Linked DNA regions of Rhinolophus ferrumequinum. The protein of the gene in region 2 purifies or fractionates together with the protein of the main gene of each other region. This does not show direct contact. Links are inferred from orthologs where the notes say so. Each region holds a gene or a part of one and is shown on either strand. Other genes may lie near its edges.

Region 1 (7,603 bases), on a different chromosome or scaffold from region 2:
GTCTGTTTGTTAATTTCTTTTGTTCTTTAGATTCCACATATAAGTGAGAACATATGGTCTAGGGAGAGCTTACTTTAAATCCCTAAGTCTAGAAGTTCTCTCCTTAGCAGGGCCATTGAATTGAGACCTGAAGGATAAGGGGCAGCTATGGGGAAAGCTGCAGGAGGGGTGTAGAGATGTGTCTGGAGGGTCAGAATGGCCAAGAGGGAGGACAGTGTGGCTTGAGTGTTTAAGCTGGGGAAGGACACCACTGACTGATGTTATAAAGAGCAGCTGGGAGAGTGTGGAGAATGGACCGTGGGTAGCCAAGATGGGAGCAGGGAGAGCAGCAAGGGACGTCACTGCAAAGTTTCAGGTAGGGTTTCCAGGCGGGAATTCCCGCCTGTTTTCAGGAATTTTTTTTGCTTTCCCGTTCCCGAATACTGATATATAAACTGTTTTCTGTTCTCCACGATGAATCGTTTCCACAAAGTGACGGCCAATAATACTACCAACCACCTGGGTTCAAGGAGCCGATTTTCCCGATTTCCCGACCAAATTTTCTCGAGATTCAAGAACGGAAAAAGCGAAAAAATTCCAGAGAACGGGCAGGAATTCCCGCCTGGAAACCCTAGCGATAAATAGGAAACATGTCTAAGAGATACATTGTGAGTAGTATGTTTATTTCCCATTGTGGGTATTACTGGCTTCAAGGAGCCGATTTTCCTGATTTCCTGACCAACTTTTCTCAGGATTCGGGAACGGGAAAGCGAAAAAAATTTCCTGAGAATAGATGGGAATTCTTGCCTGGAAACCCTAGTTCCAGGCAAGAGATGATGGTGATGGTGGCCTACACGGGGCGGGGCAGTAGTGATGTAAGGAGGTGGCTGGCTCTGGGATATGTTGTGCCCTTGGTTTGAGGTGACAGACAGGAGGGATTCTAGCGAGAGTGCCTGGGTGATTGATGGAGGGCCCATTTGTCAAAATGGGAAGACTGGGGGTGAATACAGTTTTTCTGGAGAAAGTTGAGAGTTGATTTGCTCAGGTCAAAGTCTTAGAAGCTCTTGATGGTTCAATCCATGAGCTCCTTTAAGACAGAGCTGCTGTGTCTTAAAACCAAAATGGACTTTCCCAAACCTCATCTAGACCACCAAACGTGGATTTGTTTGTGGCCTGGTCTTAAAACTTAGCAGTGGGTCAACCCCTGAGCTCCAAAATGTTCTTTCTCAAATCTGGTCCTATAATTCTATGCCATCCAATATCAATGCCACTATGAATGGCCTGTGTCTACTGAGGGCTTGCAATGTGGCCAGTCTCAACTGAGATGTACTATAAGTAAAAAACCCTGGATTTCAAAGACTTAGAAAAATAAGCATGCCAAATATGTTGAAATGTAATATTTGGGTATATTGGATCAGATACAATATATTATTAAAATTAATTTCACCTTTTCTTTTTACTTTTTTTTTAATATGCCTGGAATAAATAGAAATTTATACCTGTGGCTCCCACTGTATACCTACCGGGGGTGCCACAAAAACGTATACACATGACTGGTATTCATCTTTTGTTATCGGTATATATTGAGTATTACAATTTTAATACAGTTCCCCCCCCTTTCTTCCGCCTCTCCCACCCCCTACTCCCGTTGTTTCTCAGTCTAGTTGTGTAGGACACAGCTCCCTGGCCCATGCTGGTATTATGAGCCTTGTGCTCCCCTCTGGTGAGGCAGTCAGTTGCCAGTCCTTGGTCGGCTGCTCACAGCAGCTCATAGCAGCTCTCACCAGCTGCCAGCCGCTCATGCTGGCCACCGGCTGCTCATGGTGGCACACAGTAGACGGTGGCAGCTCACGCCAACCTCTGGCTGCACACTGCAGCCCAGCTCCAGGGAGAGCCGTTGTTCACAATCTTAGCTGTAGAGGGCGCAGCTCACTGGCCCATATGGGAATGGAACCTGCGACCTTGGTGTTAGGAGCACGGCGCTCCAACCACCTGAGCCACCGGGCCGGCCCTAATATGGTTTTATCCTTTCTTAAAATATATATACATTTTTTTTTGGCACCCTCTGTATATCGGTAAGCCCTGCTCTAATTCAACAGGGGTCAAGTCCACAAGCTCCTAAGGGGGCACCATGTCCACCCCACATGCAGGTTTCCCCAAAGTCTCCTTTGCCATTCTGACTCTTTAGACCTCAGACTGCCTTTGCTTTAGACCCTGTCTTAAAAGTTTTTGGCTCCTTCAGCTGCGGCAGCCATTGAGGAGCACCAGCCATGGTCCTGCACTACCCCATGGCCATGAGCCTCAGCCAGGGCCACAAGTGACCAAGAAAGTGAGCAAGTGGAGGCACAACTGACTCCGCTGCTGGCGCCTCACCCGAGTTCTGTGGGACATGATCTGAGAGGTGTGCGGCTTTGCCCTCTATGAGTGGCGCCATGGAGCTGCTTAAGGTCTCTTAGGACAAGTGAGCCCTGAAGTTCATCAAGAAAAGGGTGAGGACACATTTCTGTGTCAAGAGAAGAGAGGAGCTGAGCAGTTCTTACAGTCATGAGGAAGGCAGCTGCCAAGAAGGACTGACTGAGCCCCATCCCCCTCTGTGTAATAAAACCTTTTCAGAAAAAAAAAAAGTTTTTGTTAATTCATGGGCTCTGGAGGTGGTTGGGAGAGGACTGAGTTTTCCTGTATATCCACACTGAGAACTCAGAATTAACTCCATCTTACTCCAGGTGGGTGAAAGGTGAAGGGTTGGAGGTGGTGGGTGAGAGGAAGGTGGAGAGCTGAGGTGGGTAAGAAAGTGGCTTTCCCCCTTACTTAGAGAAGGACTTTACCTGTTCTTGGGACTCTGGCTGTCTCTCTTCACATTCCTCAAAAAGCGGAGTAGTTAGAACCTCCACTGTGTGTGTGTGTGTGTGTGTGTGTGTGTGTGTGTGTGTGTGATATCTATATCTATCTATCTATCTATCTATCTATCTATCTATCTATCTATCTATCTATATAGATAAATTTTTTTAATGGCATTATCTTCTGGGAGAAAGTGCCTCCTCCTATGTGACGAATGGACCCCTCCAGTCCTTGGATGCTTAACATACCTTCCTTAAAAAGGACTGTTTTCAACTCCTGGTCCTAAGAATTTTTTATTTTTAATGGGCTTGTTCTATGTTCTTTAGGGGCAGACAGCACCCCCAACTGTTATTAGGAATGGACTCCCTTGGTCACTAAAACAGCTGAGTGATGTCTGTCCAGAATACACTTTCCCAAGCCCCATTCCTGGAAACCCAAATGGACAGATCCATTGAACCCGGAAGGTGGGCTCTTCTCACCCTAATCTCCATCCCCCCAGGACTCAGCCTGAACGTTCCCGCCAACCAGGACACTCCACCAAGGCTCATTCCAAGAATACTAGGTTTCAGAGATCTGAAAAGGGTAATGGGTGGGGTTTAGTTCCTCCGTGACAGAAATGGACTCTTCCAGTTCCCTTTGCCCCAAATTGCTCAATAGCCTGGGGCGTTGGAGTTCCGGAGGCTTTGACTTCCCAAAACCCAGTCAACCAGAGCGGGTCTCTGGGGCACTGAAGGGTGGTGGTTGGGCCAACCACAGCAGATCTACCTATTCCTTCCTTTTAAACAGCGTTCTTCAGTACTGGGTCCCATTCTTGCTCAGGAGCTGCAAGTCTGGTGGAGAGATTCACAATTTTGACTTGATATCTGTATAATGGCGTTATGATTGCGACAAAAAGGCATTGCCTATTAAAAAGTCGTTAAAAGCCAAAATATAATTTAAATTCCGATTCTGACACTTCCTAGCTGTGTGACCTTGGGCAAGTCATTCAACCTCTCTGAACCTCAGTTTTGACCTCTGCTTAATGGGACGAGACTTGAATTACTGTGTCCTCTGCCTTGGGATTCTCGGTCTCCCGACAAGTTAGGTCTCAACTTCTTGGCCGCTAAATAAGGGAGGAGGAGGTGGTGGTGGGGAAATCTTAGAAGATTTAAGGAGAGTAGGTGGAGGAAAGTAGGGAGAAAGGGGAACAGACACACGCTTGCGCAGTAAACACCTCACGCTTTCTTGCCCCTCCCATCCCCTTCTCTGCAGCAGGGAATTGCAGACGACGCTCCACCTATCCCAGACCAGCTGAGCGACACCTTCCCTTCTCCTTCCTTTTCCACCTTTCATCACCCTGCTCCAGCCCACATTACCGCCCAATGGTGGGCGGGAGCAGGACGGCCCGGCGAATCTGCGAGGTCTGCGGGGGCGATCTATTCGCCCATTGGCCCGAGTCAAAGCAAGTTCCGCCTCCTCAAGCCCGCTCCCCCGCCTTCCTTCACGCCAATCCCTCCCTTGTAGAGAGCGTTCGAATCCAATCAATATCCCAAGTATCCGCGCGTAGGGGGCGGTCCCACAGTACGTAACCGGACTCCGCCCGCCTCTCGGCAACGCCTCCTCCCCCGAACGGAAATAGCGGGGAGCTGGACCAATCGTAGCGGCGTGCCTTTGCCCTGCGGCCAATGAGAGAGGGAGTGAGGGAGATCCTGTGTCTGAGCAGCAGTGACCTGAGCCAATGGGCGGCTGTGAGCTCAGACGGCGGAGGGGAGGGAGGGGCCGGGGGCGGAGCTGCGGCCTGCCAGCCCGCCTGCCTGTCCGCCCGCCCTCCCCCCCTGGCCGGCTCGGCTCCTTGGCGTTGCCTGGGGTCCTTTCCTCCCGATCCCTGTCTGCCAGCCCCCGCTGCGCTGTGCCCTGCCCGGCCAGGCCTGGAGCCGACACCACCGCCATCATGCCGGCCGTGTCCAAGGGCGATGGGATGCGGGGGCTCGCGGTGTTCATCTCCGACATCCGGAACTGTGAGAGCTCGGCGGGGGGACACTGGAGACGGGGAGCGTGGAATTGAGGGGTTCGAGGGTTACAGAGAGGCCCGGGGGATAGAAAACCATTGGGGTCGTAGAGGGAAAAGATAGAGAGGACCCGGGGGGAACTTTAGGGTGGGGGGAATGGAGGGGCTTAGGGTGTCATAGAGTGCCTCTTGAGGTGACGACACGGAGTGGCTAGAGGCGTCTGGGAGGGTCTTAAAGGAGAGGAGGCTAGTAAGGTTCCAAGGATGGGGGCATAGAGGTGTCCCTGTGGATGATAGCCGGATGGGTCGTATTAGCGATGGGGTTAGAGGAATCCCTGATGTAGATACAAAGGGAAGGTGGTGGATGGGTTGCGGGGGGGCGGGGGGGGTATTCTGTGGAGTGATAGAGTGGGAGGAGGCTAGAGGGGCCTGGGAGGACGTGAAACGCTGGGAGCCTAATGGGGCCGCGCTTGAGGGCCTGGTTGAGAGGTTGTCATAGAGGGAAGAAGCTAGATAGGTCATTGAGGCCCTTGGCTAGTACATAGAGAGGGCCTGGGGATGATAGAAAGTCCCAGGGGTTGGGAAAGAGAGGTGGGAAGGTGGGGGCCTATAGCGGGACCCTGGTGAGGGACAGAGGGGCTCCAGGATGGAGGATTGCTTAGGAGATATTGAGGGCAGTGCAGAGGCTTGAGGGGTTACGGAGGGGAAAAGAGGGACTCACGGAGTGTAGAGGAGAGACACTGCAGGTGAGGGTCTTGGAAGAACCTGAGACAGAAAGCTGGGGCCTGAAAAGGGGAGGATATTATAAAGTAGGGGCTTGGGGGATGTTCCAGAAAGGGAAGAGCCCAGAGCTCAAAGAAGGGGCCAGGGAGCCTTAGGAATTTGTGAGGAAGAGATCTGAAAAGCTGGGGAGTAGAGGAAGCCTGGTCTCAGAGAGGGGTCAGGGAGCATGACAGTTCTGAATCTATAGCCCTGTCCCTTCTGACCATCTCAATATGGGACAGTGAGCACCACCAGGAAGGATTGTCATGGCAATGGGAGGCCTGGCATCCAGTCAGTCCCAACTCCTGGGATCTGGTGTTGGTATTTGGAGCTGCCAAGAGCTTCAGAGGCTGTTCCACATGGGATTTGGGGGCAGCTAGACCTGGGTTTGAGTTTAAATGCTGTCACTCCCCAGTGGTGTGTTAATGTGTGTGAATGAGGCCTTTTGCACATTCCAGGCACCGGGAGGATCTTGGCTATTGTTCTTGTTATTTTGCTGGATCTGAGGAGTGGCCAAGGATCTAGCACATAGTAGATGTTCAATGAACAGGAAGGGTGGAAACTGTTGGTATCAGGTGGTTGTCATGAAAAGGGGTGGAGCTAGGAGGGGTTGTGGACTAGGAGGGGTTGCCGGCTGGTAGAAGCAGGTGTGCATCGCCTCTGATACCTACCAGACATGAGACCCTTGGCATATCACTTTAACCTCTCTGAGGCTCAGTTTGATTGTCTGCAAACCTCAGTGAGAATAGCATCTTGCCTCTGAAGGTTCATTCATTCATCTGACAAGTACTTTTGAATCAGTAAAGTGTGCCAGACACTGTTCTGGGGACTGAGGCTACAAAAGTGAACAAAAATTCCTGCCCTTGGGAGTACCATGTCATGAGGGAGAAAATAAACACAGAGAACCTGCAATACATGATACAATGTCAGACTATGCTGTGAAGAAAAATAAAGAAGGGGAGGCAGGCAGAGGGCCCCGGACTGAGAGGGTGCTCAGTGAAGGCCTCCCCGAAGAGCTGACATGTGAGGGGAGACTTGAGTGAATGGCGGGAGTAAGCCCTGTGGATCCAGGCAGGGGAACAGTGCATTCAAAGGTCCTGAGGTCGCGGCACACTTGGTGTGTGTTCCCATATGAGTGAGGGGGCCGATGTAGCTGGAGCCAAAAGAGGGAGAGAGGATGGGAGCTGACGTGTAGGGCTTTGTGGGTCACAGTGAGCCCTTTGGCCTTTCCCTGAGTGAAATGAGAGAGGCAGCAAGGTTTTAAGCGCAGGAGGGACACGAGCTGATTGATGTTTTAAAATAATTTTTCTGGCCGCTATGAAGAGCACAGACTGGAGGCAAGAGCAGAAGCAGGGAAAGAATTAGATGCCTATCCAGGTGCGAGATGGTGTTGGCTCACCTGGGGTGAGAAGGGAGTGGGGAGAAGTGGTTGGATTTGGGATAAATTCTGTAGGATTTGCAAAGGGATTGGATGATGGGGTTAGGGAAGGAAAGAGAAAACAGGTTGGTGTCACTGCAGGACCCCAGCGGGAAGCCAGAGGACAGAGAGGAGACTCCAACTTGGGGACAGTGGAGGTAATTTTGCCAAATGTATTGGGGCTGGACAATCAGGGCTTCCCCTTGTCTTTTTCTCATCAGGTATATGTTGAGTGCCTGGTATGTTTCTCGCCTTATTATAGGCGCTGGGGATATAACGGTGAATAGGACAGACTTGTCAGTGTCCCTGTGGAGCTCCTAGCCCCGTGAGGGAGACCTGTACTGCATAAAAAATGCAGCTGTCCTTGTTACAAACAGTTGTATACAGATGTTGATAGCAGCATTATTCATGATAGCCAAAAAGTGGAAACAACCCAAATATTCATCGATAGATGAATGGATAAACAGATGTTTTCCACCCACACAATGGAATATTATTCAGCCATTAAAAAGAATGCAGTACTGATAACCTAGATGCTACAACACGGATGAACCTTGAAAACATCATTCTAAATGAAAGAAGCCAGACACACAAAAATGTATGATTCCATTTATCTGAAA
Region 2 (7,691 bases):
AGTATATATGGGCTCCTCCTCAATGCCAGGGACTTCAGTAGGCACTGGCTTTGTAAGGATGAAAACAAAGGAAGAAATACAATTAAACAACAAGGTAGGAAGAGTGTTTCTAGGGACATGTAGGATGCAATGGGAGCCTACCACTAGGATACCTAACCTTACTTAGAATGTTAGGGAAGCCATCCTCCAAAAAGTGACATATAAGCTGAGCCCTGAAGGACAAGCAGGAGTTAGCTAAGCTAAGAGTGAACAGAGGAGAGCTACATTCCAGGCCTGGAAGCATAATAAGAGTATGTAGAATATACGAATGGCTGCTAGAAGGTCTCTGTGGCTGAGACCAAGAGTGCAAGAGGAAGGATGGTATTGAAATGTGGCTAAAGAGTTAGACGGGGCCCAGATACAGAAAGAAGACCTTATAAGTTAAGAAATTGGGATGTTATGTGGACCCTTAAGGACAACAAAAAGGGTTTTAAGCAGGGAAGTAGAAGGAATAAACTTGAATTAAAACCACTCCAGCTTCAGAATGGAAAATGAATTGGAGGAGAGCAAGACTTAATGTAAGAATATTGTTTTGTGGATGAGTGTGATAGTTCATGGTCTAAATGATAGTGGCCTAGACTACAGTAATGATAGTAAAGATGTAGAAAGATACGTAGATTTGAGAGTGAGAGGTGTGTCCCACAGGACTTGGTCTTTACAGGCTGTGGAGGTTAAAGGAGAAGTCAAGAATGTCGACCAGGCTTTCAGTCAAAGGAACTGAGTAGGATATTGGTGCTGTCTAATCCTAAGCTAAAAAGCTGATTTTAACTGAAATTTCAGTTTGAGAAGTTGAGCTTAAATTGAGGTAGAATTTGAATTGCCACGTGGAGACATTCATAAAACAGTGGGATTTATGTGTTTGGAACTCAATGGATAGATCAAGAATGACAACATAGATTTAGGAATTGTCAACAAGGAAACAGAAATCTGGGGAACGGATAAGATTTTTAAGTAGAGAATATAGATAGAGTAAGCAGGAAACAGACTCGAGACAGATTTTTGATAAATACCCAAAGAGTGATAGAGACACTGAGCGTGCAAAGGGGCTGAGGCATACTATGAAAGTAGGAGGGAAAGCAGAGGGAAGGCAAAGGAAGAGAGTGCTATAAGGAGCAGTCAATGGTGTCATGGAAAGGTTAAGATGGATAAGGATAAAAAGTGCTTATTGGATTCAGTGACAAGATGGAGATAATTCCAATGAAGTAGCAACAGCCCGCTGGTGCATTGCAGTGTGAGATACAGGACAGCAAATAGTTTTCGAAGCAGCTGATTTGGAGTAGAGAATAAAGAGTGGTGACAGGAGGGAGAAGTGCCATCAAGGAAGAGTTTCTGTTTGTTAATATAGGACAGATTTAAGTATGTTTATGTTACAATTTTGAGCACTTGCAAGAATGATACCAGAGTGTGGAAAGCCTGGAATTCTAGGTAGGAGACTTTGTTCTCAGGCAATTGGGAGCCCTTTCAAGTAGGAGAATGGCACGTTTATTGTCATGCTGCAGGAAGACTTATCTTGGAGTTGGGTAATACTTATCCCAGGGGACATCCTACTGTAAAGAAACTCATCCCTGCCTTAAAACAAAGCAGATGTTTTAGTTTTGGGTTCTAGGTGAGGGTGTCAGCAGAATCTTTCACCACGCTTTTTGGCAGTCTTTACAACTTTGTTTCAAAATTGTTTCTAATTATCTCAGTTTTCTTACTAGGACAAACATATTTGTTAAGCTTCATTTAGTTTGCAATTGTTCCAACCTTAATATCATTATAATTAGACTTAAAAGGCTAGTTCAGCAGTCAGCCTACTTAGTTGATAAAACGTAGCCAACTCTGTAGTTTTCTTTTAGTCTTAAGATCCTTAAGTAACTCTTCTGCCCCTATATATCAACCTTTGTCATAAACAGCAGCACAAGGAATGAAAAGAAAAACTATTCAAGTGCAAATTAATAGTATTACTGGGGGAGTGTAGAAGGGATGGTGTTTAACGGATTTAAATGAAAGAATACCAGTCATACATTTAGAGCAAAAGCAAATCTTAAATGTGCTTGGTAAACAAGATTTAATACAAGACAATAAATATAAACCCAAAGGGGAAGGTAGGTGAGCTTCAATATCTCCAGCCTTGTTCATAAATCACAATATTGATCAAATATAAATTAATGCATGAATGTATACATTTGTGTCTGGGAACATATGAAACCTCATTTATTACGTGAGAATGAAGCAGAAAGCAATTTTTATATTATGAACACCTAAATTAACTATTTAGCATTTTTAAAAATCTTAGCTGAATGGATTTTGTCTACATGAATCTATTCTTTACATATCTACTTCTCAAAAGAAAAATTTGTAGTGTGAACTATCACTCCCACTATAGCTTTTGCTTTGGTTCCTAGGGAAGAGAACTTAAGACCAAGGGGTGAGCATTAAATGACAATACTCATGAAAAGAGATGAAGAAAGGAATGTCTGAGAGTTTCATTTGTAATTCTATTACCCATTTCCTCCCAATGACCAACAATATATCCTGGGAGTGGCCACTGCACCTTTTTATTTTCTCCCTTGGTGAGATTTGCTTCGCTAAAAGATCTACCCTTCAAATAATGGTTATTGTTTAAACTGAAATATCAGACAAGCATATTTGTATAGTCTATAAGTAAATGTCTAATAATATAAGCTATTCAATGATACATTTTAAAATATTCAGTACCTTTATAAGACGCCATGAAATATTATGTCCTTGGGGCAGAGATATTGCAAAAAAAAAAAAAAAGATGTAACGTAGTAAATCAGTGAAAATTGTGCCTAATTGGGAAGGTAGGGGAGAAAAAGGTCATTTTCAGTAGAATTAATGGCACGTTTCCGTCTGTAACCGCCAAACTCAAACCCTAGATCAGTATTCTCAACTCTGGCTGAGCTCTCAGAATCTGTGTGGCTTTTTAAAAACGTGTGCCAGGTCCCCACTCCAGATCTACGAAATCCAAATATCCAGAGTTTTGCCTCTCTTTGCTCTACATTTATCTTTTTTAAAACCCCTTCTTCATCCTGATGTACAGTCAGGGTTATCACTGCTTCGGAGCCCACAGCTACAAATGAGTTGTTAGAGAAACAACATACAGGGTTATATGAGGACCAGAGTAACCTAGTAACAGGAAAGGTTTTAGGGCTAGCTAGAATTCTCTAGGCCTTTGATTGGAGGGATAGACTAAGTTACAGAATTGGGCACATGGCTATAAGGGCACACAAAAAAAACTCAGAAGACATAGTTAAGACTTCTCTTGGACTGCTTGACTTTGTAACATCCTAGACAGTTTAGAAAATTGGTGTTCAATTCAAGTTCATTCATAAGAAACAAGTGTGAGGCAGGAAGATACAAGAAATCCAATGTAGGAAGGGTCCCAAGTTACAACTCAAAATTCAAGGTCTTGAGCGGCTAGTACTCAGTACTTGACGTATGGCTAGTGTAAAGCAAACTTAATTGAGATAATCTGTGAGTCTATGTAAGGAAAATACACACAATTCTTAAGGACATTGCGTGAAAAAACTGTAAGATGTATCATTAATAATTTTACATTGATTGCATGTTAAAATATCTTGAATTATTGCACTATTAAAACTGTTTCTTATTTTTTTAATGGGCCCCTAGAAGCCCTAAAATGACACTATGTTGCTCACATTATATTTCTGTAGGACAATGCTAATGATTAACACTAACCTGGGGAGACTACCTGGTACTAAAGGGGGGAGGGAGGAGTCATAGACTAAGATGGAGGAAATAGGCTTTAAAAAGCCATTTAAAAATAAACCTCTAGAAAAGATAACCAGTGTGTAGGATCACATGGGCAATACCGTGGGAAGAGCGCTTGGAGGAGGAAACGATTTAATTTCCTTGAAAAGCCCGGAAGAACTGAAGTTCAGCATTTAAGGCTCCTGATGTAACCAACCGGCCTCGCATTGGAAGCCGGGGCAGATGGTCGTGGGAGGGCCCTGCCCCAAGGGAGGAGCATTCCCGGGTTTTGCAGGGAAGGCCCAGGAGCCACGCGGCTCAGGAAACCACCCCGGCGGCCGGATAGGAGGACATTTCATTAGCTTCCCCCTTCGACTCTCCTTAGGCTCTTACCCTGAAAGAGGGAAAGCTCTTCCCCAACCTGGGGAAACAATGCCCTCCGACCCATGTCTATACTCCACTCCATTGCCGCTCCCACACTGCGCAAAAAGACCCGACCCAGGTGGGCAACAGAAATGCGGGAAAAGGAAGAGACCCAGGTGTGCGCTTCAACTGTATGCGCCTGCGCGAAAACCCCTACTCAGTCCTTAGTTTCAGCCTCTGCTACTGCGCCTTCATCCCGCCTCCTTTTCCCCGCCCCCACCTGGGTACGTCACAAAGAGTGACGTATAAAACGAACAATCGCAGTCCCTCTCCTCGTGAGCCAGTAGGCAAAGGGGAGGGAGGGGAGGGGGGAGGGGAGAGGACGAAAGGAGAAGGCTTCGGGGGCCCCAGTCACCCAATCAGAGAGCTCTGGGGAGGAGCGGGGCGGGGCTCGAGAGGAGGGGTGGGGGGGTGGGGCTAGGGAAAGGACTTAGAAGGCTGCGGCGAGGAGAGGGCGGGCTCCCAAAGATTAAAAGCGCCCAATCAGAGCGCGCCGGCTTCATTTGGAGAGCGGCGTGGGGCGTCGCCGCCGCCGCCGCGCGCGCCGGGGGCTGGTTAAGGCCATGAAACAAAAGAAACCCTGAGAGGGGAGCCGCTGCCACCTCCACCAGCCCGCCCCGCTGCCGTCCCCACCCACCCACCTAGTTACCTACCTCTGCCGCCTTCCCTGGCCCCTCCACCCCGCCCTCTCCGGTCTCCGGGCGGCCCTGGCGCTCCTTAGCCCCGGTCGCCAGCCCTGTCGCCTCCCCAGAGGAAAGGTGTTTGCGCGCTGAGCAGGGCCCAGGCCCTGTCCGCCATGGGGCTCGCCGCCCGCCGCGCCTGACCCGGCCGCCGCCGCCGCCGCCATTGACAGCACGCTGCCGCGATGCCGAGCGGCAGCTCCGCGGCCCTGGCCCTGGCGGCGGCCCCGGCCCCCCTGCCGCAGCCGCCCCCGCCGCCGCCGCTGCCGCCGCCTGCGGGCGGCCAGGAACTTGAGGGGGACGGGCTCCTGCTGAGGGAGCACCTGGCCGCGCTAGGCCTCGACGACCCCAGCCCGGCGGAGCCCGGTGCCCCGGCGCTAAGGGCCGCGGCGGCGCAGGGCCAGGCCAGGCGGGCGGCGGGACTGTCTCCGGAGGAGCGGGCTCCGCCCGGCCGGCCCGGGGTCCCGGAGACGGCCGAGCTGGAGCTGGAGGAGGACGAGGAGGAGGGGGGGGAAGCGGAGCTGGACGGAGACCTGCTGGAGGAGGAGGAGCTGGAGGAGGCAGAGGAGGAGGACCGGCCGTCGCTGCTGCTGCTGTCGCCGCCCGCCACCTCCGCCTCCCAGACCCAGCCGATCCCGGGCGGGTCCCTGGGGTCGGTTCTGCTGCCCGCCGCCGGCTTCGATGCCCGGGAGGCGGCCGCGGCGGCGGGGGTGCTCTACGGAGGGGACGATGCCCAGGGCATGATGGCGGCGATGCTGTCCCACGCCTACGGCCCCGGCGGCTGCGGGGCGGCGGCGGCCGCCCTGAACGGGGAGCAGGCGGCCCTGCTGCGGAGGAAGAGCGTCAACACCACCGAGTGCGTCCCAGTGCCCAGCTCCGAACATGTCGCTGAGATTGTCGGTCGCCAGGGTGAGTGTGAGGAGGGTTCAGCGGGGCATGGCCCCGGGCGTGGGTGGGAGGACGAAAGAAACCGGCTTGGGGCAGGAAAAGCGAACCTGGCGAGTCCCCCAAGTCCACTGCGAAGGGGTCTGGGAGGAGCCGAGGGTCGGATGGGTCACCTTTCGAAAACCCACGGTGTGCCGCTCGTTTTGCATGATAAAAGGTATTAAGTTTCTCGAGCCACCCAATCCGGCGGTGTTCACTTTACTCGGGCTGTATTCGTGGAACACCAGGCTGGCGTGACACCAAAAACCTCAGTGAGGTGGTAAAAGGTCGGGTCGATTGTGCATTCGGTGTGGTGCCCGGGGAAAGCTCCGAGATTGCAAGTTTGCTCCCCGACTCTGGTAAAAGCGCTCGGCTTCCCTTCCAAGAGCTCGTTCAGATGGGGAAATGCACAGAAATGGAGGCTTGAAGAGAGACTTCCTTCGCGAGGGAAGGGGGATGTTCAAGTGGTGGGTTTCATCGCCACCCCCCACCCCTCCGCTATTCAGAAACTTAGCCTTTGAAGTGCAGCCTAACTCAGTTGATCTTATTGTATTCCTTTTATATTTTAACTCTCAAAAAGGCACACTGGCTACCTTGTAGTATGCTTTAGTGTACACGATGAAGAAAAATGCAACAGTAAGGTTACTGAGTTAAGGAACTTGATGCATTTATACCGTTTTCAGTAAATTCTCTTCCCTTGCCAGCACACCAGTACTGCAGACAGACTCCTCCCACATTGTTCAGACAAAGGACCTATGTCTCAGATTCCAGGAGTAGATTTGTGAAGGTGGGGGAAGGGGATGCCCAGAGTACCTCTGTATCCGACGTTTTTAGGGAAGGTCCAATGGCCGTTAGTGTACTTTTTCTCTCTTATTAAATATACCTGCAGCTGCCTTATTACTAAATGGTTTTGCTTGGTTGATACATGTTTCTTTGCTGTTAGGTTGAGAGCATTGTTGGGGTCAAATAAAGAGAAATGATGGCGCTGCTGCTTAAAATGATCTCATCTTTCCCAAGTGGTCTAAAGTACACATAAATAAGAGGTCTGTTGAAATGGTGGTTTCAAATATCAGGGTTGGCTCATTTCTTACCTCTACGATTTTAATAAGAAAAACCCATCTGGATAGAGGAGATGGCTTATTTCAGACCCCCTGATGATTGGAACTTAAAGGCAGTGTTCAAAACTGGTGCCATTCAACAGAGAGTTTATTACTATAGTTTGGCAAATAACTTTAGCATGCCTTGTTTGGTTTTTGCAATGCTTAAGATACTAATGCAGGAGAGAACTATTTCACCTTACATAGGACAAAATTAGAACATCTCAATTTATAGATCCAGAATGAGTTGGCCTTTCAGTTAAGAACATCGAGGAATTGCTATGTATTGAGCTTGTATTTTGCCAGGCTTTGAGTTTATGGCAGTTGGGAAGGTGAGGTTGATTTCAGACAAACTTGGTGCCCTTGAGAAGCTAACAGTCTAGTAAACAATGGAATGACCCTAAACTAATATATAGTTAATGGCACTAACTGTAATGTGTGACAAACAAAAGTCGTACATACGAACAAGAACATAAACCCTGGGTGGCCTTGGAAAATGGACAGGGCTTTATCAAGTGGAGATGGAAGAAAGACTGAGGAACAATGCGAGGAAAGGTACAGAGGAATAATCTCTAGGTATGATTGGGAAGTTGCATTTTTCTTTCTCTTTTTTCTTTTTTTTTTGTTTTGTTTTGTTGATACTTAGTATCTGAAAAGGGGCTGGGAAGGAAGGTGGTGTGTGTTTGGGAACAGAGTATATGAAAAACCCTTATTGCCATGCTGGGATGATGCCACTTAGCACAAGTTGCAACAGTGTGCATATGGTGACAGTTTAGGATAATGAAGAACATTTACATGCCAATTTTACTAA
Region 3 (7,457 bases), on a different chromosome or scaffold from region 2:
CGGATTCTTTTTACTTTCAAATATAAAAGTAAAAATATTTATCAAAACAGGAAGTTGAACTAGGTGGGGCTAAGATTTTGATGTTAATTACAGTAAATTATCAGAGAATGTGAGCCATGGATGATTAATACTTTTTGAACCATAGAAATCATAGCCACAAGCCACTTGAGAAGAAACTATAATCTATTTTGACAACTACGTGTCAAAATGTAGGCATCAATTAAAATCCCCAAAACTCACTACATTGAAACTATACCTAAGTTTTCAAGGTTAAAATGCTGTGGTTCTTACATTTCTCTCTTTCAAAGAGTTATACTTTATATGACTTTCTTTATCAGTTGTGAAAACTTCTTGTAGTCTAAAATGCATCACAGCAAGGTTTTTAAAAATGTGATTTGCAGTTAAATGTGCATTATTGAATTTACATACTTCAAAGAATATCCTCACATAATATTTTAGAATAATTTTTCCGGGACAAAATAGGGCATACGTAAGTCAGGTCCCTTAGAATCCACATTTTTTCATTTGTAAGAAAACTTACATATAATTTGTATCTTCCAAAAGTAATATGAATAAAAATGAAAAAACATTAACTCTTCATACCTACAAATTACTGACTCTTCTAAAGCTCTAAAAAGAGTTATTTAAAGCAAGAGATCAAGATATCTAGGGAATCCAACATCTAATTTATGTGTAAAAGAATTTCAACTTCCATGTTGAATTTTTCTGTTCAATTTGGAGTATTAAATATATCATATGAAATATTTCAAAGCTCGATATGGTCATATTTGTCAAAGACGCAAAATTCTGTGGTCCTTAAACAGCACAGATTACTGAAGAGTGATGCATTTCTTTACTCTTTAAGCTTGAGCATTTTTTCTTCCAAATTGTTCTCAGCTACCAAGTTTCTTTTAAAATGCTCTCAATTACCAATTTTGTTTTTAAATGCTCCAGCACATTACTGTACAAATCTGGGCAACAAACTCAGACTCTTGACCACAGCATTTTCAGCCCTCTTGATGTTCCTGGTAATATACATGCTTCCTGTGTTTGTAATCTCGAAACATTAGGACAATATTGACCTTTAAAATGAAACTAACAACATCCAACATCACTTATCGTCCTCTTACATACACCTAATGGTTTCTGCCCTGCTTTTCATACATTGGTGCTGATGACTTTCTTTAAAAACAAAACAAAAAAAAGTAGCCTTAAAGAAATGTAGTACAAAAAGTGTAAATCTCTAAAGAGGTTAGAAAATTATAGTCCCAGGTTTGCCATTTCCAGTGTAAAGAGTGACACAATCGGTGACCATCCATCGAAAGATGAAGCCATAGTCTTTTATGATCATAGACAAGAGAGATGCTTTTGAGAAATGAATGTTATCAACCACAAAGATTACAAAATACCTCATGCGTTTCACTAATAAAACGGTTGAAATCACGATTTGCCTTAGTTCGTTATTGAGGGCGACTGTGTCCTGAACCCCTGTCTAGCCAATTCTGACACCCAACCTGCGCAGTGCTCCTTCCTCCCCCGCACGCCTCTAACATTCCCTCCTCACACAAATGCACACACACGCCCAGCCCGGCCAGAAGATAAAGCTAAGATGGCAGCGAGCAAAGTACGGGAGCCGCACTCCGTGGGGTTGGAAAAACAAAAGCAAAGCCCTCTATATGCTTTCATTCTCCATATTTCCTTGAATAACAAGAGCCCCTCCCTCTGAATCCCCCCCCACACACACACGCACAAACGCACACAAGGGCAGCATAAAGCATTCAGTAGTTGTGCGCTCAAGATTGGCGGGAGGGGACGCTTGCTTTGCACATTCAGAGAAACCCACATCTCCCGTCAGCAGTGACGGTTCAGGTGACCCTCGCTTCTTGCTTTGGGGACCACCCTCCCCTTCGTGTCCCCTTGACAGTGGAATTAAAGGCGACTCCAAACGTCCTTTCCTTCCTGGGATGCACCCCCTATTCCGCCACCCCAGGGGAACCTTCCAAGGTCCCCAGCTGCCAGGGCCAATAGCTGTAGCAGCTGCAGTGACCGGGAGTGCCCAGTGCAGAGGCAGGAAGAGGAGGAGGAGGGACAGAAAACGCTGCACTGGCTATCAATTTAGAGTAGAGCGGCCGCTGCCGCTGCCGTGGAAGGAAACGCTGCCAACCGCAACAAACGCCACCCTCGGATACCTAAGTGAGCATGTGTGCGACTCTGCGCACGCCTAGTGGCGCCGCTCTTGACAACGGATTCCTTAGGAAATGATCCTGTTACCGGGTTTTGTGTGTACCCAGAAGGCCCAGGAAGGGGCCTGTCTGGGACTGAAGGGTAGGGTACAGAGCGGAGTGAAATCGAGGAAGAGGTGGGAAGAACTGGAGATCAGTGCAGCCGCTCTGGTCAGTCCCCACTAGAAACTGTAAATGGGCAATGACTGCTTGTGCCACCTCCTAAGCCTGAACTGGAAATGTTTGTCTGTGCAGCCATCATTCATTCATTCAGCGAATATATATTTCCCTCCTGCTTAGAGCTAGAGTCTGTTCTAGGAGCTGGGGATGTAATGGGGAAACAGACCCAGACACCGTACCTGTCCTTATGAAAAAGTCTAGAATGTTTTGTTTTGTGTGTTACCATTTGAGAAAAGCCGTGTGCCAAGGAGGGCATCCTAGGTACCTGAAGTCCTTCCATAATCTCGTAGTATTTTGACCATTATTCAGAGGACCAAACTTGCCCAAAGATATACAAGTAGCAGAGTCAGGATCCAAATCCCAGCCGGTCAGAGCCTTTGGCTACTTCCTAGACTCTTACAACAGAATGAGCCCTTGCAGCAGCTTCTGCATTGTTCAGACTACTAACTCCACCAGCCTTTAGCTGCCTCTATGCCTGTGTCTTGCCTCTGACCCTTAGGAAATTAGGGTTGGGCAGGGGGGCTTCCTGTTCAACACCGAGCTTGTAACTGTGCTGAAATATCAGGACAGGAATTTAGCCTAACATACTTATTGGATACTTACTTTGTGCAAGGTTCTAAATTAGGGGCTGAGGAAGACACAAAGATAAATGAGAAGCTCTGAGGGAGCTTATAAAATAATTGAAGAAACAAGACAAATACAAAAATTGTTTGACAGAGTTACTCACTGTACTAAAATACTATGATTCCCCATGGCAGTCCTTTATCCCTATGTTTTCATTTTCTCTTTTGCTCTTTTTATTTTGTAATCAGAGTGACATCCATCAACCATTTAAAGCCTCAGATGAAATGCAGTCCTTCAGCATTGCCTCCCCTCTAGGTAACTAGAATTAATTTACTTCCCTACTTCTCAAAATACTAAATAGGGCTGCTTTTTTTTTTTTTTTTAAGAGAAGGATGTTCAAAGAAGAGGTACAGACATAAGAAGAGTTAGTAAATAGATAAAGAATATGGTATTGGGATGACAGGACTTAATCATTTTTGTCAGGGGTATACATTTATACTCTTCCAATTGAATCAAAAGGCTAAAACTAACAGGAATCGGGGTGCACTGGCACATGTATTTCTAGAGCATTTACTTAGTATTGGTCAGTAAAATAGCTTGGAAAAGGGGACTCAGCAAATGTTACATTTTTATAGATCACAATAAGATCTTTGGTACATACGCCATTTCCAGATGTTATACATAGTCACAATCATAGTTTCCGGTCATAATATAGAATTATCTTTAGTAATTTAAATCTGGGAAGAAAAAGGTAAACCACTAAGTGACCACTGTCAAGAGATAAGACTGAACTTTTATGGTGAGTGTGGAGTCAACAAAACAATATTTAAGAAAAGTATTATTGTGTTAAGATTTTGGCTCTGGTGTAAATGCTGAGAACAAGAATTTAGGAATGACTGGCTTGTGGATACGCTCATATCTGTGAATTCTACTTTCACAGAAAAAAAAGGATGCACTAAATTATACCTGTCTTTTGTAATCAAAAGCTATTTTAAACAGACTTAAATCCTACAGACAAAAATTGCAAAATAATAGCACCTAAGGGACTTCTATTTCAGTTGGCTTTCTCTGCCTTGAATTCTGAATTAACTAGCACTATTCACGGTAAATCTGCATGTTGGCAGCACACGCTTTTGGGGAAGGGGAACAGGAGAATGTAACATTCATTTTCAGTCGGTGGGTACATTCCCTTTTTTTTTTTTTTTTAGGTCCCAGTTCTCCCACCTGAAGGGAACCCGTTACCTGAAGCCGAATGCCTGCAGTTGACAGCCTGCCTACCACTTTCCTTACTCTTCCTCAAGCTGCTGGTAAAATCCGGAGAAGTGGATTTCTTTCAGATTCTGTAAGGCTCAACCCCGAGGCTGAGGGAGTGGTGGAGAAGAGGGGGTAGGGAGGGAAAAGGGCTGGAGTGACTGAGCATGTGCGAGGTGTGGCGCATGCCCAGTGCGGCCGGTAGCTTCCCATTGCGGGCAGCTCCGGCGGTGGCAGCGGTGGTGGCGGCGGCGGCAGCGGCGGCACCGCCTCCTCCTCACACTCCGGAGGTGGCGGGGTTAGATGAGCGGCCCCAGTAGCGGCGAGGGCGGTGCGGGGGGGAGGAGGAAGAGAAGGAGGAGGAGATCGCTGTCTTTGTAGTCTCCCTGCTGCGGGAGCGAGAGGCCACCGCCGGAGCCGTCGTCGTTGGAAAAGGGCTGTGTGTGTGCGCGCGCGTGTCTGCCTGCCCGGCCCGTGGGGACGAGGCAGTCGTGGCGGCGGCGAGGATGATGATGTGCGCAGCGACTGCCTCCCCCGCCGCCGCCTCCTCGGGGCCCGGCGGGGACGGATTCTTCCCAGCCGCCACCATCTCTTCCTCCCCGGCGCCGGGGGCGCTGTTCATGCCGGTTCCCGAGGGCTCCGTGGCTGCCGCGGGGCTGGGGCTGGGGCTGCCGACCGCGGACTCTCGGGGTCACTACCAGCTGCTGCTGTCAGGCCGGGCCCTGGCCGACCGCTACCGGAGGATTTACACCGCTGCGCTCAGTGACAGGGACCAGGGGGGCGGCAGCGCTGGACACTCGGCCTCCAGGTGCGTCTCCGGGTGCCCTTCCTTGCGCCACATGGGGCATGTGCGTGCTCCCGTGCGCGTCTGCGTGTGTGTGTGTGTGTGTGTGTGTGTGTGTGTGTGTGTGTGTGTGTGTCTACGTACTTATTTACTGAGCTGTCTTCCAGCAAGCGCTTGATGCTGAATGGTAGAAGCACTTACTGAGATAGGAGGGTGCGGTGGCTTCAGTTTCTGCTCTAAATATGTGTGCCTGGCTTTGTGTGTGTGTGTGTGTGTTGGGGGGACGGGTTAGTGAGGGTGGGAGGGTAGCATGTGATGTTAGAAAAGGTGATGGTTCGGGTCGTCATGACACGTGTGTGTATTGTTGAGGAAGGAGGAGGAATGGATAGTGGGTTAGAGAAGGTAATACGAGAAGAGAATTTGCAAGAGTGGTCAGGGAAGTGGCGTTTCCAGTCTCTGCCGCAATTGTATTTGCACGTATTTCTCACCCCCCCAACCCCCATGACATTCCATCCTCCCCTTTCCATCGCCCTTAAAAAATCTGCCTTTCACTTAAGGGAGCAATGGTGTAGGTTAAAGATAGTGTCATTCATATACATACATAAATATATACGTATACACGTGTATATATATATACGTATATACATATATATGTGTATATACATATATATATATATATATATTTTTTTTTTCCCCATCAGGCTGTCGATTAGGCATGGGGTTTCAATTTAAGAGAAAAAAGGATGCAGATGGCAATTTATGTGGATGTGAAAGGTGTCTGATACGTATTTTTATAGTTGTACTTTGATAACTGGACCTTTAGTCTTCTGGAAATGCCATTGCAATTGCTCTTATGTTCTGATGTTCCATCAGCCATTTCCCTTCATCTTGTGTTCTATTTCCTCTGTCACTTATAGGTTCTAGAGGAGAGGGGGTTTTGTGGGAAAAAGGGCAACACTGAAGAACTTCAGAATATGACAGCTGTATAGTGTTCAACTGCCACCAACTAGAAAATTTGAGTAGCTCCTGGATCTCTTCCAGGCTCACTACACCTTCAGTTTCTTTGATGTAGGAGATGATAAATCACTTTCATTTTCTTTTTCTTAATATATGGGTGTCTTTTTGCTAAGTGCTCTTCTATTGTGTGTGTGTGTGTGTCCATGCCCTTACATGCCACACACCCCGAAGGATGGTGACTGACTTGTTTCACCAGCTTGGCTTTGACAGTGGTAATTGGGAATTGGCATCATCTTTTTTCTCACAGCTTCTTAAAATACACGGGGAAATGGGGAAAGCATAGTAGGATTTTGTTAAATGTTACAGCGTTTACTGTATTTACTGAATGCAGTTTGTCAGGTAATAACCAGCTGTCATTTTCTTCTATTAGTGAAAGAGGGTAGGCTTAAGTCAGGTATTTGGTATTTTACCAGTATGTATTGTGGCTCTTATCTCTTAGAGAGAGTTGTAAAGGTGGAGCTTTGTTCACAGTTTTTCTGGGTAAACCAGTCTCCTCATGTCTGTAATTCAGGATTGGGCACATGAGTAGTTTAATCATATGGATATAAATGTGTATAACAGCCTTTTGCTATCTAAGCTGAAGGCCACAATGACACAAGTCTGTTTCTTCCTCATGTTTTAAAAAATAGCACAAAACCTCATTAGACAGTTTGCTCTGATAATTAGCTATAATTGTGAGCTGTGAGTCTCTAAATCATGGTACTGTAGGTACATCTTTACAAAGAATTTGAATTTATTAATACTTTGTATGTTGTTTCCAGAGTTATGCAGTATTTGTGACTGGTATATTTCCATTTTAACTTTTTACTACTAGTGCAGTAGTACCATTTCTGTGTGTCTAGAATTATATTAACAGTTTCAGGCAAAATTAATATAGATTAACCACGTATATAAAAGTTGGGGCTGATTCTTAGTTTTTGGCCCATTTTTGCAAGCTGCCAATTAAAATTAATGAATTAGTTCAAGTATTTGAAGAGGTACTTACGGAAACCGGCCTTAAGTTGTATAATATTGCTGTCTACTGCTTCTTCAGAACATGATTTTTTATTCTCATTCACATTATTTTTTCTAAGTCTTAGCCTGCAACTCTTCTTTATTGAAAATTTGCTGAAGAATTCAATCATATTTCTTACTAAATGTGATGGGACAGTGGAGCTAGGCTTTAGGTTCTGAATGAAGATTATTAGTTGTACAGGGGCACCAGCTGAGTTAGGGGAGCAGATGTGATCTTTCAAGGACAGATAATGGAGCAAGAATAGAAGATGAAGCTTTCGCGAGCATCAAGTTTAAAAGTATGAGAAAAAGGAAACAGTGAAGGAAGCTGAAAAGAAGATAAAAATGCTAAGAAGAGAACCATGGGATGGATAGTAGCACCTCTGGTCCTGAGAAAGTGGATTGAAAGTCCTCAGTGTTGTTAAATGCTGAAGAAAGTGAGAACA

What was found. The genes of interacting proteins can lie anywhere in the genome.
Region 1: the proteins of MEX3C (region 2) and AP2A1 purify together in Homo sapiens (affinity purification with mass spectrometry; 3 studies listed by BioGRID, with this or other methods). This does not show direct contact. The link is inferred for Rhinolophus ferrumequinum from reciprocal best matches to the Homo sapiens genes MEX3C and AP2A1.
Region 3: the proteins of MEX3C (region 2) and MYCBP2 purify together in Homo sapiens (affinity purification with mass spectrometry; 3 studies listed by BioGRID and IntAct, with this or other methods). This does not show direct contact. The link is inferred for Rhinolophus ferrumequinum from reciprocal best matches to the Homo sapiens genes MEX3C and MYCBP2.

What each region holds. Positions count from the first base shown.
Region 1 is NC_046298.1:44,813,908-44,821,510, forward strand, and holds the start of AP2A1 (AP-2 complex subunit alpha-1), read left to right. Parts: upstream 1-4,598; 5' UTR 4,599-4,747; coding exon 4,748-4,814; intron 4,815-7,603.
Region 2 is NC_046302.1:41,643,186-41,650,876, reverse strand, and holds the start of MEX3C (RNA-binding E3 ubiquitin-protein ligase MEX3C), read left to right. Parts: upstream 1-4,680; 5' UTR 4,681-5,044; coding exon 5,045-5,768; intron 5,769-7,691. UniProt on the Homo sapiens protein: E3 ubiquitin ligase responsible for the post-transcriptional regulation of common HLA-A allotypes. Binds to the 3' UTR of HLA-A2 mRNA, and regulates its levels by promoting mRNA decay.
Region 3 is NC_046287.1:28,147,633-28,155,089, reverse strand, and holds the start of MYCBP2 (E3 ubiquitin-protein ligase MYCBP2), read left to right. Parts: upstream 1-4,452; 5' UTR 4,453-4,723; coding exon 4,724-5,025; intron 5,026-7,457. UniProt on the Homo sapiens protein: Atypical E3 ubiquitin-protein ligase which specifically mediates ubiquitination of threonine and serine residues on target proteins, instead of ubiquitinating lysine residues.